Oryzias latipes: one gene and its partners. Each later gene encodes a partner of the first gene's protein in a complex. Links are inferred from orthologs where the notes say so. Each region holds a gene or a part of one and is shown in the gene's direction. Other genes may lie near its edges. The genes, in order: aurka, tacc3 and tpx2.

Region 1 (5,443 bases):
ATGGCCAGTACCATCTCTAATAATGCTGGAAAGGTAAGCCTCTCTTTCAAACACCTCATCATTAGTTTAGTCCAACTACAATTAATAACTTTTTACCTAATTATGTTGCTAGAAGTCAGATAAATGATCAATGAACTTTTGTTGTATACAATTTGAATAGACTTTAATGGGACGGATGATCTTTACAACAAAATAATTTTATAAAACTGTACTGAGACTGTTGCAGACATAGAAACATTTTTTAAAAGGTCAAAGGAGAGGACAGAGTTTTGTCTTTTCCTCTACTTTATCTCATCATTTCTTCTGCTTCTGTCATCAGTGAACTCTTTATTTTTTTTTTCTCATCTAGGGCCGTGAAGCCATGGAGTGGGTGATCAGGCAACTCAATGCAGAGATCGAGGAGCTGGCAGCCACAGCGCGTGGGACCTTACGGGCCCCGATGGCTGCAGCAGTCACAGAGAAATGACACACACTTCCTGTTTTGTTTTTGTTAGTTCCGTCTAAGTTGCACTGCTTATCTATACAACCAGTCCTTCGTTGGGCTGCTCTGGTGCTCTTGGTTTTCTGTATTACTCGAGCGGCACACTTTGCCATCTATATTCTATCTATTCAGTGAGATGACAGTGATTTTAGGATCAAGTGGATGTGACGCGCTCAGGAAAGATGGAAACACTACCTGTCTTTGTGTGCTCAGAGTTTGACTTTAAAGGCACCAGATATGGAAGAAAAGTGCCAAAGTTGAGACGGTTGTACTTTCAGATCTCATGTTCTGTTAAAAAAAAAAAAAAAACTGTTCCTCAACACAGCCGACTGCACTCACACTAACTTAGGAAGGTAGATGTATAAATGTAAGCAGTTCAAAGGAAACAGGTGGAGAACTCTACTCCATCTATCTAAGCGATCCGAACTTTCAGGGCCAGTTTGATTTCTTTATTAGAACTATTTCTGTAATGTTTCTCTGCGGGACCTCAGCAATACCAACACTGTCTCTTTATTTTTGTTTTTTAGGCAAAGCCTGAATGAATGTACTGTTGTATAAAGACTTATTGTATTATTTAAGTTAAAAGAAGGGATCAATGTTCTCGCCATATTTATATTTTTATAGTAAGACCTTGTCAGATTCTGCCTTTCTGTCAATGTAAATGTGTCGTCTGTCAACTTTAAGTTAAATGCAGAAATTGAACGTTTAACATCCAGTCGGCGGTCTTTCAGTTTAAAGGTCGCTGCAGGTGCTGCACAATGAAGCCGCTGTAACTGTATGAACTGTTCTATGGTATTGTAGACGCCTTCTTTGATACAATATTTCTAAAACTTTAAAGAATGTATTTATTTAGAAAAACTGTTTATTTCTTGCTAGTCTTTACATCAAAAAAGAATGTACAACTAAAGAAATGTTACCTGTGAACAGGAGAAAAAAAATGAATATAAGAATAAAAGTAAAATATTTTAACTTAAAAGCTTCCCCTCAATATTTTATTTTCCATGAGAGTTCTGTGGGTTTTGCTTTAAATATTTTCATAATAAAATATAACTGAGAAAACAAACACTTGGGACTAAAAATTTTAACCACTTATTGAAAGACGTTTTCTATTATGGAAAAGAGAGACTAAACTAATAGAGACTAAACTAATTTTTGTGAGCTAGTTGGGTACTTTTGAATTAAAAATCAAATTATATTCGTTCATCTGAAGGCCTCAAGAATGGGGGAGATGTAGTTACTCATTATAAACACAAGGGGCCGCAAGTGTCTTAAAAAACAAAATAAAAAAGTATTTAGTTAGCCCATGCGTCATCATTATCCTAATCAATTTTATGTGAGTAACCAAAGAAAACCTTGGACGGGTGTTGAATTATAACCCCCCCCCCCCCTCCCTTTTTTTTGGCGCAGAATGAGCTTGACCAACCATTTACTTTGGTCTGTTAAACTTCTCCCCTCGTGTTTTTTTCTTTCTAAATAGCTATTACCGTTTTGAGATAGTTTTAATTTTATCTTTTTTGCGTTTATTTGTTTGTTTTCGTAAATTGTTTAAACTGACCGAACTGAACCTGCGCTCTGCCATCTAGTGCTTTGGAACTCCAATTACCCATGACGTTCCTGCCGCCCATTCGATACATTGTATTAGCCAATAGGAAACCGAAATTGGGCATTCTGTCAGCCAATCAGACCAGCTGATTTTTTTTAAAGGTTAAAACAGGGACGTTTGAAATTTCTAATCAGCGTTTCAGGAAAAGAATCGTGTGGTCACAGACATCTCTGTAGTTTAAACCTTTTAGGTGTTTTGAACTAGTTTTGCCGCATATATTTATTTGCTTTCAGTCCAAACAAGTTGTCTGTTCGTAACGTTTCACTGGACTTTGCGTTTATATTTAGACAAAAGGAATTATCTTTCGTTAGCTAGCTTTCGTAGCATCTACGTGGGCATGGTTTTTTTCTTCTTGAATGTATTGGACTGATTAATTCTGGATATTTTAACGTGCCGTGGTTGCTGTATATCATTGTGCAGTAGTACATTTGGGTAAGTTATGTCAGACGTTGCATTAAAAATAGTTTGTATGATAGTTGCTAAGCTAACAGAAGCACTTGTTCATTAACGTTAGCTAGCCTCTGGAGAAGAGAACATCAGCTCTTTTAACTTGACTTAAAGTATTTACTTTTATAAATGTTTTACCTTTACGTGCATAGTTTGTTCACTAAGATTATATTTGATCATTGTCTGTGTAAGTACTACAGTTAGCATTGCGGACCTAAGCCTATAATTTCCTCGTGTTTTCATCTGATACGCTATTTGAATTATATACTTATAATAATATAAACTTTTTCCTTCAGGAAATGGATCCTTCTCCCTCACTCAAGGTGACAAAGAGTGTGAAACTGCAAAAGCCTGAAATAAAGCAGGTGAAGTCAGACTGATTTTCTTTTTTTAAGTTTAAATGTCTAACTTTTTTATGCCCTTCACTGCATTTTCATATATAGTATAGTAATTAGGGATTGATTTATATTCAATGTTGGAAAATACCATTTGGATTGAGAAATATAAATGACCAAGTGACATCACAGCGGACAACGCACGTGATCAAGCCATCATTACAAAATGTGTGGAAACACTTTGGATTTAGCAAAAACATGATTATACGGTGTGATAGAACCTTCTAATACTGTTCCATATATATTATTTTTATGTGTATCTCTGAGTCACACTGGTTGAATTTTGGTTAAAGATGTCTGGGATCCATTGTAGGTCAGTGAAACAGATCGAATCATTCAAATCAAACAAGAATGAACTATGAATCTACAACCCCTAATGGTAATATAGGTTAGAAAGTAATACTGATGTAGCAATATGTAAAGCTGCATTTCCTTGAATTAAATGTTAAAATTTCTATTTGCTGGTCTCTTAATTGCAGTCCGGCAGTGATGGACCACGACGAATTCCTGTGTCTCAACAGCATCAAATGGTTCCCAAGGCAATAGTCACACCCACCTCGCATCAGCGAGTTCTCAGTGTGTCAAATGGACCTCAGCGTATCCAGCGACCTGTTAGTCATCAGAAACCGGTATCTCAAGTCGCTTTTACCAACAAGTCCTCACATTCTGGCGATCAGAATGTGAATCCAGCTACTCTGAATGCACATCATGCTCCACCGTCTAAACCTACGTCCCAGCAAAACCAACCAAAGACTCAGGTTCTCGGTGCAAATCCAGATTTGGCCAAGCCACCGTCGGAACCCATAAAAGCAGACAAGCAACAGAGTAGGTTATGCCACTGAATTAAACACATTTCTCACGTTTAAAAATAAGTTATTTATACATATATATTATATTTTATCAGGCAAGCTCTCAAGAACTGAGCAGGGCTCTACATCCAAGTATGTCAAGTACAGACTATTTTTTATCATGCATGTATAAGCCTGAAAATGTTCTCTGGAAGGCTGTAACCAGACTGTTGTGCTCATACAGGAAGCGATGGAGCCTAGAAGACTTTGACATTGGTCGTCCTTTAGGAAAGGGAAAGTTCGGCAACGTCTACCTCGCCCGAGAGCGACAGACCAAGTTCATCTTGGCTCTGAAGGTTCTTTTCAAGAAGCAACTGGAGAGGGCTGGGGTGGAGCATCAGTTGAGACGAGAGGTGGAAATCCAGTCACATCTCAGGTAATTCTGGCTAACCTGATCTCATCCCAAACAAGTATTTGCAGACACAAATCTCAACCTGATTATGATTTTGGGGCTGATCCCATCTAGTGTTTGTACCTTACAATCATTGACTGACAAACTCCAGTACAGCAAACAGATTCACAGTCAAAATTGCAAAAACAATATTGCTGTCATTTACATAACTGTTTATAGAGAAAGCTTATACAATGTGGGGGTGACGCAAAATCCAATACTACTCATTCAGGAGATTCCGACTTTGAGAGAGAACTTTTTAAAATGGGTTATGATGGCGTTACTATGGAAGCTTGTTAGATTTAAAAAAAAAAAAAACAGGAGATCTTCGTTCCAAGTCTTTTCGTGCTTTTTGTTCTACATAAGCAAAGAAGTCTAAGCAGCCCGGGCTCTAACCTCATCTGCTCATGAAAACTATAGGATGAGCTGCAATTAGAAGTAGAAAAAGTCTCATAGACATGATCTGTTTGTGTTTGTCACAATATCACCAGTCTGTTTTCTTCTTCCTACTTATTCACAAATGTTACAAAGCAAAATGTTGGGTAAGTTTCAAATATTAACCAGTAGGAACTGTTTGTTTCTTTTGTTTGAGTCAATCTCAACGACAATAATAGGCGCAAAGCCCGTGGTTGACCTGCTGGAGGCTCCCGTTGTGGGTGTGGTCGACTTCACCATAATTCTTATGATTTTTGCTATGAGTTTTGTTTCAGAATTTGCTCTTAATATTTTTCTGAACTACTGGTATAACAGTTGTAGTCCTAAAGCGAGGAGCTAAGGACGCGTCTACGACTGACATTAGGGATTTTAGTGAAGGTTGTTTAAACAATAATGTGTTCTTGTGATGTTTTTGAGATTATTGAGGGTGAGTTGTGAGAAATTGATTTTCGGGGTCGTTTTCGTGTACTTCATTGACGGTCCCTGCCGGACTTTGCTTCCATGTGAAGCTGAAGGCTGCAATTTTAACAGCAAGGCAGGAGAACTTGGATGTATCCATGTGTGTTCTTGGTTTGAGTTGGCGGCACCGACTGCAATAGTTACCGAAATGTGTTTATTTTTAGTTTTGGAAATTCTGTGAAAAGTTATGGATAAAGCATTGCTAAAAAAAAAAAGTGTACAATCCCTGAAAATCAGAGCCATCCAGCTGTAAGCAGGATCCAGCTCAGAGGAGGAAAAGGAAGACGGTAATGTATCCATTTGTCTGCAAGCGGATGCATCAGAATGGAGTGAACAAGTAGACTGGTAAAAACCCATTTCAGTTGCTGCGTCACAACTGAGTTT
Region 2 (3,821 bases), on another chromosome or scaffold:
CGGCTATTGCCAAAGTGCAGGCAGAGGTATTCACTTTCACTTTTAATAATAATAATAATAATGGATTGGATTTTTCTGCGCTTTTCAAGACACCCAAAGCGCTTACATTATGTCCATTATTCATTCACTCCTCATTCATACTTGGTGATGGTAAGCTACGGTTGTAGCCACAGCTGCCCTGGGGCAGACTGACAGAGGCGTGGCTGCCAGTTCGCGCCTACGGCCCCTCTGACCATCACCGGGATCATTCATGCGCATTCACACACCAGTGGAGCCACACTGGAGGCAAGGAGGGTGAAGTGTCTTGCCCAAGGACACAACGACATTTTTGGCTGGTGGGAGCGGGGATCGAACCGCCAACCCTTCGATCATTGGACGACCCGCTCAACCACCTGAGCCACTGTCGCCCCAACTAACTTTTCAAGTGATTGTCTTAGCTACCAGATTAGTTTATTAACTTGACATAAATAATGATTACTAATATTTTCTCACTCAAAGAATATTACCGTAGGATGGAAGTTAATTTCTTTTGTTTTAGTAAAAAAAAAGGTATCCGTGCATCTTTAATATAGAAAAAATCAGAATCAGGCTTTCTAGTACCGTATTTTAATGACCACGGGGCGCACCTGGTGTTAAGGCGCGGGCACATTAACGCCCCTTCGGACCCTCAGAGCCTCCAGAGTGGGTTAATAAAATAACCAGTTTCTGTTCTTTAGAGGAAACATTTTTATTTTTACTGTTCTCCCTAACTGAGTTACACAAACTGAATGCTCACACACTTACTTGCGTGGGCATCTCCCTTCGTCCTTATCCTACACACGCGCTTAGCGAAAACGCTGCTGCCTTCAGGACAAACATAAACACACACACACACACAGGCTTGCGCCGTGTGTCTGCTTTTCTCCTTCCTGTATGCGCTGGCGAAAACACAGGCTTACGCACACACACAAACACTCAGTGTGTGTTTAAAAAAAAAACAGCAAGAGAAAGTCTGAGTTAGTTTTGATTTATTTTTTCTCCACATAGCTGATAGCTGGAGTTCAAACAGGGCTTCAGCCATTTTGTAAATAGTGTTGTGGGGACCTGAGCCTTAGCCCCGCCCATGGCCACTAAGACTCATGGGAAGTGTTGATGTCCACACCATGAGTTAGGGAGCTGTGAAGAGAAGTCGGCCTCATGTTGTTACACTGTCCTTGAGTCACTCACCTACTTCTCCGGTGCTTCTCAGCAACTCATTAGGTGCCCCACCTCTTAAGGCGCCCCCTACAGTCTGTCTTTAAAGGGCGCCTTATAGTTGTTTAAAAACATTTTACTTTTGTATTACTCTGAAAAAACGTCGAAGAAAACTAATCATTCAAAATCTTTTGAGTGTTTGGCAAATAGTAACTCTTGTTTTGTAATCAGGATTGAACTGCAGTCAGCCTTTCATTTGTGTGCATTTCCTATATAGGCAAAAGAAAAAGAGCAGCACTGGAGTGACAAGTATGACAAGCTCCAAAATGATGGTCAACAAATGAGGCGAGTTGATGCCGAGCCAATTTTTTATATTTTTTTGACATTTCAGATGCTTTAAATATTGAATAAATATTTTTTCTGTCACAGGAAGATGATCATTGAATTCGAACTCGCCATCGCAAAAACGATGGGTAAGTTAACCTTCATCACAGAAGGGGGGCAGGTTTTTGGAAAAGGCTGTTCATGCTCCAATTTTCTGCCATCAGCTGATCACGAGAAAGAGAGGGAAGAGGCACGAGAAAACCTCAAAAAGGCCCTGCAGGAGAAAGAGCAAGTTTCCAGTGAGCTGAATACCATAGAAAAATCTTTTGCTGAGCTTTTTAAGAGACTGGAGAAGTACAAGGAAATGGTAGAGGGTTACAAAAAGGTATGGGTTAATGAGCATTTTTTTGTGTAATTTACTTTTTTTTTAATGTAAGGGTATTTAAGTAGTTGTATTTTCTGTAGAATGAAGAGATACTGAAGACTCGTGCACAGGATTACCAGGAAAGAATCAAAAAGGAGGAGCAGCGCTACCAGATCCTCAAAGCTCATGCTGAGGGGAAAATTGGCCAGTAAGTTTTTGTTTTTGTTTTTTGTCTGTAGGTTTTCAAGCTTAGAAAGATTTCAGGACATAAAGATTTTGTCCTTCTTTCCTTAGAGCAAATGAAGAAATTGCTGAGGTTCGATCTAAATACAAGGCAGAGTTCTCAGCTCTTCAGGCACAGCTACGCCGGGAGCAGCTGAAGGTTCAGTCCGTGGAGAAACGTCTGGATCAGAAAGTGAGTCAACAGAAATAAGCTTGCGTTTGCAAATTTGACTATAAAACTGGAACGACACCAATCTTTTTTTGTCTCCCATTCAGGAAAAGGAGGCCCAGGAGCTCACCAAACTCTGTGATGACCTGATCTCTAAAGTTCAGAAGGGCTGAGCTTGTTTGTAAATACTGTATTTTTGTGTCCATATCATTTTTTTGTGTAGTGTTTTTCTGTTTATCAGTGTTCTGATGATACTGTTTAACAAAAAGAAAATAAAGATAATTTTACAAGTTTTACCATTGAAAATTTGATTTTTCACGTGTGGGCCACTAGAGGGCAGTGTTTCCACTTGCATCTGTGCATTGGGACTTGAAGCTTTAGTTTTGGATCTGCAGGTAACACGAGTCTCTATGTTAATCAGTGCAGAGTGCTCTTAAGTGCACAGATGGAAAACTTGTCATTCGTCCGGAGCCAAAGCTCATCTCCATGCTGCGATTCTCCCAACAAACAACAGCTCACCTCATACAATGCTCCCCTTCTTTCCTCAGCAATCACTGGGTCTTGTCACATCACTCCCACAGCAGGACAATGTACTTCCTAAATGGTGAAAGGAAACCCTACCTAGATCAGAGTTGAATGAGATGGTGATGCAGAGGCGGAGAAGGGGGACGATTCACTTAAACGGAGAAAAGATGTCAGCCGTTTGGGTGTAGTCTTGCAGGGGACATCACTCATCTAAAAAGCAACCGTGAGACTGCTCTGGTGTCTATTCAGTCTTTCATCCCCGTCGCTCGTGTCCCTCTGGCTGCCCTTTGAGTCACCCTCCAACACTCTGCTCTGCTCTGAGGACGACACTACACCTGTGAGAGAACCTGGCCCTTTTGTTCATGAGATGCTCAGCCTCAGCTTTGGTTTACAGCCACAAAAAAACCATTCTAAAAGAAAAAAATAGTCCAGAACAGCACCCAAACTGATTTCAGTTTTTTTAATCAAACTATCAAATCTTAAAGAATGCATCATACAAGATTGTCAAATACAAGCTACTTGAAAAAATACCTAAATATTGGCAATAAAGTAAATGCGAATAAACAAGTGAACAAAGTTTTCAAAATGTACAACACACAACAGTATACTTTAATAACATTCAATAGATAAGTGAAATGCCTTACTCTGAAAAATAAACCTTTAAATTCTTTTAGGAAAATAAATTAAATATTCTGATTACAGCTTCATAAACTGCTTGGATAAGGTGGGGGTCAAAAAGACTAAATCTCTTCTGGTTTATGTCAAAATGCTACTGACTAGTAATGCTACCTACAGAAAGCTCAAACGAGACTGAAAACCAAGAGAAGAAACCACGGAAAAACTGGAAATAAAAACGTTTCGGGAAGTGTTGCATGCCATGAAGAAGGAACAGAGGTTGGGGTAAAGATGGCTAAAGGATAGTGGTCAGTATTCCCAGCATAATGAATGTCTAAGAAACACAACGACAACCTGAGTAGGAGCATTAAACCAGCCCTTTTGTAAAACTTGAGTACCGTGTTCATTTAGCGCATCCTCAGTAGCTGA
Region 3 (4,044 bases), on another chromosome or scaffold:
CCCCGTCCGCTATCACATGCACAGCCGCAGAATCCAGGAGAAAGGTGGGAAAGCACACAAGAAGCACACAGAAGTTTAATTATCTACAATCTTAAAGAAGTCCGAAGGTTGGAGATGTGAAAGCAGCTGGTCTCTGCAGTGAAGCATTACAAACCAAAAACCCGCTGAGCTCCTGCAGCGGGGGTTCTACCTTTTTATGAAACTATTCTGACGTCAAAGTGCATCTGTGCAGTTTGGTCACACGACTGACTTCACCGTTATGTCTTTCTTGGCAGTGAAAGCAAGCCACCTGAAGCTCACCCAGCCCCACTCCCCCCACCTGATGACGCGGCAGAGAAGCAGACCCACCTCAGTGAAGAGCAGCGTTGAGCTGGAGGCAGAGGAGATGGAAAAGCAGAAGAAGTAAGGCCGCACGCCCGCTGGTGCTGCCCTGTTGGGACGCTGTTGGACGTCTGTTTCCTCCCGGCAGGTTCAAAATCAAAGCTCTGGAGCTGAACAAGAAGATCCTGGAGGGAGCAGAGGAGCTGAGGAAGCCGCCGGTGAAGGAGCCAACCGTACCTCAAGGCTTTGAGCTGGAGCTGGAGAGGAGGCTCCAGCAGAGGCAGGCCACCAAGAAGAGCGAGGATGAGGAGAAGCCCCACAACTTCAAAGCCAACCCTCTGCCCAAAAAGGTCCTGGACGGGGTTGTGGTGAGTGGAGTGGAAGGGCACTGGGGGGCTCGGTCCTTCCCACAGCAAGGTGACGTAATGTCGCTCTGTGGACAGGGCCTACCTGAGAAGAAGGTGCTGCATCCCACTGTGCCGGAATCGCCTGCTTTTGCCCTCAAGAAGAGGATCCGTGTGGAACGGAAGGCTGAAGAGGTAAGAAAGCTAGAGCTGTCCTTTCAACCAGCATCCCTCCAGCTCACTCATGGCCCTTTTTTGACCTGCTGCTTCAGGTAAAGCAGCCCTCTCCTGTGAAGGCGCCGCCGGTGCCTCACTTTGGCCTACCGTTCCAGCCCCGCCTCCCAGAGGACCACCACCTGGACGTGTGTCCTTTCTCATTTGAGGAGAGAGAGCGGGAGAGGCGGGCGTTAAAGGAGAGGAAGCTTGAGGAAATGAGAAACCAGGAGGTGAAGCCTTTCCGTCCTTAACCAGCAGTCTGAGCACAGCCACAGTCCACTCATGCTGCTCCCTCCGCCTGTCCAGGTCCCACAGTTCAAGGCGCAGCCGCTGCCGGACTTTGACACCGTGGTTCTTCCTGAGAAGAAGAAGCTTGAGCCCACTAAGCCAGAACCCTTCAAGCTGCTGATCGATGAACGTGGAGCCGTGAAGAGCAGCCGCTGGGAGCAAATGGTACCGCAGGACCCGACACGCTTCACATTCCTGTTCCCACTGAGCCTCATGTCTCTGTGTCCTGAAGGTGAAGGAGGAGCAGAAGCACCAGGAGGGGGCAGCAGCATTCAAGGCCCGGCCCAACACAGTCATTCATAAAGAACCCTTCAGGCCCAAGAAGGAGAGCCGGCCCACGCTGGGTAAGAACTAGGGACGGCCCGTGTGACACGGACGCTTCGGCGCTTGTGAGTGGCTCGGCACGATGTTCAGGGCCGCGTGTCCCTAAACACGGTGCAGTTCACGTGGTTGATGAAACATGAAGCATTGTTTGGTGGAACCGGGGTTCAGATGTCACTCGTGTGAAAAAAGCATGAATCCCAAACGGCCTTCATGACCACGGCTCCTGGTAAACAAGGTTCTGTGGCTGCTTGGAGCATTTCCACTTGGTTTCTCCTAATAAGGTCATACAGGATAAACCTGGTTTATAAAGGGGGGCGGTTTGGTAAATTTATGACGGCCAGGGACCACAGTCACATTACAGCTGACTCTATGACTAACTCCGGTTTAAGGCCAGGTTTTTGCAATGTTTCCACGGCTTCATGGGGCTCTACCCCCACCCGTAGTAAGAAGCTTCCATCCACGTCTTCGTGGCTTCAGTGTGAGGATTCATGTTTATTGATGGTGCAGGTTTCACTTTTATTCAGTTCATTTCTTCAGTCCTGTGAAGAGTTTAAGACAAAACCAGACCTTTCACTGAAAACAGACTGACTGGAAGTGACCGTCTGCAAAGAAGCTGGGGTGCGTTCAGGAGAGCGCCTCCGCCGCGGGCGGGCTCGGCGCTCTCCGCCGTTGTGTAACTCATGATGTTCTTGTCTTCACCTTGGTCCTCCGGTTCTCCTGAGAAGACGTTCATTCTTCTACAGTAGTGGAAACCTTTGAGCTGGCAACGGAGCGGCGGGCCAAAGAGTGGCAGGAGTACGAGCGCACGGTCAGCGAGAAGGAGGCGCTCAGAGCACGCATGGAGGTGGAGCAGAGGCGAGAGGAGGAGCAGCGGATCAAAGAGGAGATTGCCATGCTGCGGCAGGAACAGGTGAGTGAAGAAGCTCCTCCCCCTTTAGCAGCTGAAAGGGGTTTTCTTCCAGATTTGATTTTTAGCTCCATTGTTTCAGCTGTAATACTGTTGCCATGGTAACTAGAAAGTGCGCACATTGGCGGTGCAGACCAGGCTAAAGTTCAGAATTTTCATCTGGTCCAGAGAGCTTCATCTGCTTTGGACCTGAACCCATTCATGACTGTTCTCTGGAGAACGGCGAGCGCTGAAACCTGCTGTGCATCAGCGTCTGCACAGTTCTGCTCAGCCGTTTGAACGCCTGTCTCTGTCCTCAGGTCCATAAGGCTCAGCCCATCCGGCAGTACAAACCCGTGACGGTGAAGAAGAGCGAGATCCCCCTCACGGTTCCAGAGTCGCCCAATTTCTCCGACCGCTTCCGCCTGTGAAGCCCGCCTTGTTTGGGCAGAATCCCAGATGTAGACGTTTATGTTCATGATTTTACTCCGTGTAGCTTTTAAGTGGAACCTTTTAGAGACGTGGCATGCACCCTGAAAGTTTGTAAATTGTGTACATTTGTTTTCCATGGAACTGCCAGTCGTTCCTCTTTTCTTGAATGTGCATTAATGTATCCATGCAGTTTTGAATAAAATGTGATGCAAACACAAAGGAGACAAAGTTATTGACTGACATGAACCGGAACAGAAATGTGGTTCAAGTATTTGATCCACTTTAAAGAATCGACACGTTAGAACGATGCTTTTGGCTGGAAGAACAATAACGCTTTAATATTTGAAACATTTAGGGCTCGTTTTCCTTTAACCCTTGTGCTATCTTAGATGACCCCACCCTTCCATTGACGTGTTCTCCCTATCATGACAAAGGTGGATAAAGGTGGAAAGATTTCATGTAATCCATGGACACCAGTGAAGATCACAAATCACTGAAGAAAAAAGGTTCAGAGCACTGTCTAGTGGGTCTAGATGACCCAACTCCCAACGTCAAAGTGCCTAGGATAGCACAAGGGTTACGGGGAATTTTAACACTGGACAGTGCTGTAGACGTGGGCTTCTAAAGGGTTAAAACAACAAATGTACAATTAAAGAGGAAAACATGTTATTAGGGTCAGTGTTTAAGGATCTGCACATGGCGTTCTCCTTCACTCCAGAACTTTGAAATCAGTCAAGTGTTCAAACTAAAAGTTTACAATTATTTTTATTGAAATAAAACTGAAAAGCCTTGAATTTTCGTAGGAATCAGATGGATTTTAGTGTTAGACAGCACCCGGAGGGTCACCAGCCCGGAATTCCACATAGAACCTAACCTACTAGAAAAGCTGATCGAATAAAAAAACAATAAATAATTTGGAGTGTCAGTTCAGCTCTGCAGATAAAAACATGACCAAACTGCAGGGGATCAGACCCAAACCCACAAATCCAGACTAAACAGGAGCTCAAACAGAAAAACCTCACTGGGCCACCTAACTACATTTCCCATGATGCCCCTAGAAGGACTTGGAATAGCTCAGGTTGGATCTCACGAGTGCAGGAGGTTCCTGAGGGAAAACGGACTGAAAACCGAGGAGACTCACGTTCCTGAGCGGGTGGCAGAGCGCCGCTGGAGTTTGGCCACCGCCATTCTCAACAGAAGGTTCAGTTCTCTGTCATGAGATCTAAGTTAAGC

Evidence for each region.
Region 2: the proteins of aurka (region 1) and tacc3 are in contact, whole or in part, in a crystal structure (PDB 5ODT), measured with the Homo sapiens proteins. The link is inferred for Oryzias latipes from reciprocal best matches to the Homo sapiens genes AURKA and TACC3. Residues at the interface, in NP_001310232.1 of Homo sapiens: Leu130, Phe133, Glu134, Ile135, Gly136, Arg137, Tyr148, Leu149, Ala150, Arg151, Ile158, Val163, Arg205, Tyr207; in NP_001428248.1 of Homo sapiens: Glu523, Ser524, Phe525, Arg526, Pro528, Val531, Leu532, Gly533.
Region 3: the proteins of aurka (region 1) and tpx2 are in contact, whole or in part, in a crystal structure (PDB 3HA6), measured with the Homo sapiens proteins. The link is inferred for Oryzias latipes from reciprocal best matches to the Homo sapiens genes AURKA and TPX2. Residues at the interface, in NP_001310232.1 of Homo sapiens: Lys125, Arg126, Gln127, Trp128, Asp132, Glu152, Gln154, Ser155, Phe157, Leu159, Lys166, Glu170, Gly173, Glu175, Leu178, Arg179, Val182, Glu183, Ile184, Ser186, His187, Leu188, Arg189, Tyr197, Gly198, Tyr199, His201, Val206, Tyr246, Ser249; in NP_036244.2 of Homo sapiens: Gln3, Lys5, Ser6, Ser7, Tyr8, Ser9, Tyr10, Asp11, Ala12, Pro13, Ser14, Asp15, Phe16, Ile17, Phe19, Ser20, Ile31, Asp32, Trp34, Phe35, Glu36, Lys38, Ala39.

The regions. Positions count from the first base shown.
Region 1 is NC_019863.2:11,351,312-11,356,754, reverse strand, and holds the start of aurka (aurora kinase A), read left to right. Parts: upstream 1-2,167; 5' UTR 2,168-2,516; intron 2,517-2,827; 5' UTR 2,828-2,830; coding exon 2,831-2,896; intron 2,897-3,405; coding exon 3,406-3,751; intron 3,752-3,830; coding exon 3,831-3,867; intron 3,868-3,958; coding exon 3,959-4,150; intron 4,151-5,443. Other genes in the region: PRELI domain containing protein 3B, read left to right, coding at 1-33, 350-466. UniProt on the Homo sapiens protein: Mitotic serine/threonine kinase that contributes to the regulation of cell cycle progression.
Region 2 is NC_019880.2:12,234,202-12,238,022, forward strand, and holds the end of tacc3 (transforming acidic coiled-coil-containing protein 3), read left to right. Parts: coding exon 1-26; intron 27-1,450; coding exon 1,451-1,518; intron 1,519-1,602; coding exon 1,603-1,646; intron 1,647-1,721; coding exon 1,722-1,882; intron 1,883-1,962; coding exon 1,963-2,069; intron 2,070-2,155; coding exon 2,156-2,276; intron 2,277-2,359; coding exon 2,360-2,425; 3' UTR 2,426-2,549; downstream 2,550-3,821. UniProt on the Homo sapiens protein: Plays a role in the microtubule-dependent coupling of the nucleus and the centrosome. Involved in the processes that regulate centrosome-mediated interkinetic nuclear migration (INM) of neural progenitors.
Region 3 is NC_019865.2:31,505,050-31,509,093, reverse strand, and holds the end of tpx2 (targeting protein for Xklp2), read left to right. Parts: coding exon 1-44; intron 45-275; coding exon 276-402; intron 403-469; coding exon 470-689; intron 690-764; coding exon 765-860; intron 861-937; coding exon 938-1,111; intron 1,112-1,187; coding exon 1,188-1,334; intron 1,335-1,401; coding exon 1,402-1,513; intron 1,514-2,218; coding exon 2,219-2,403; intron 2,404-2,699; coding exon 2,700-2,810; 3' UTR 2,811-3,030; downstream 3,031-4,044. UniProt on the Homo sapiens protein: Spindle assembly factor required for normal assembly of mitotic spindles. Required for normal assembly of microtubules during apoptosis. Required for chromatin and/or kinetochore dependent microtubule nucleation.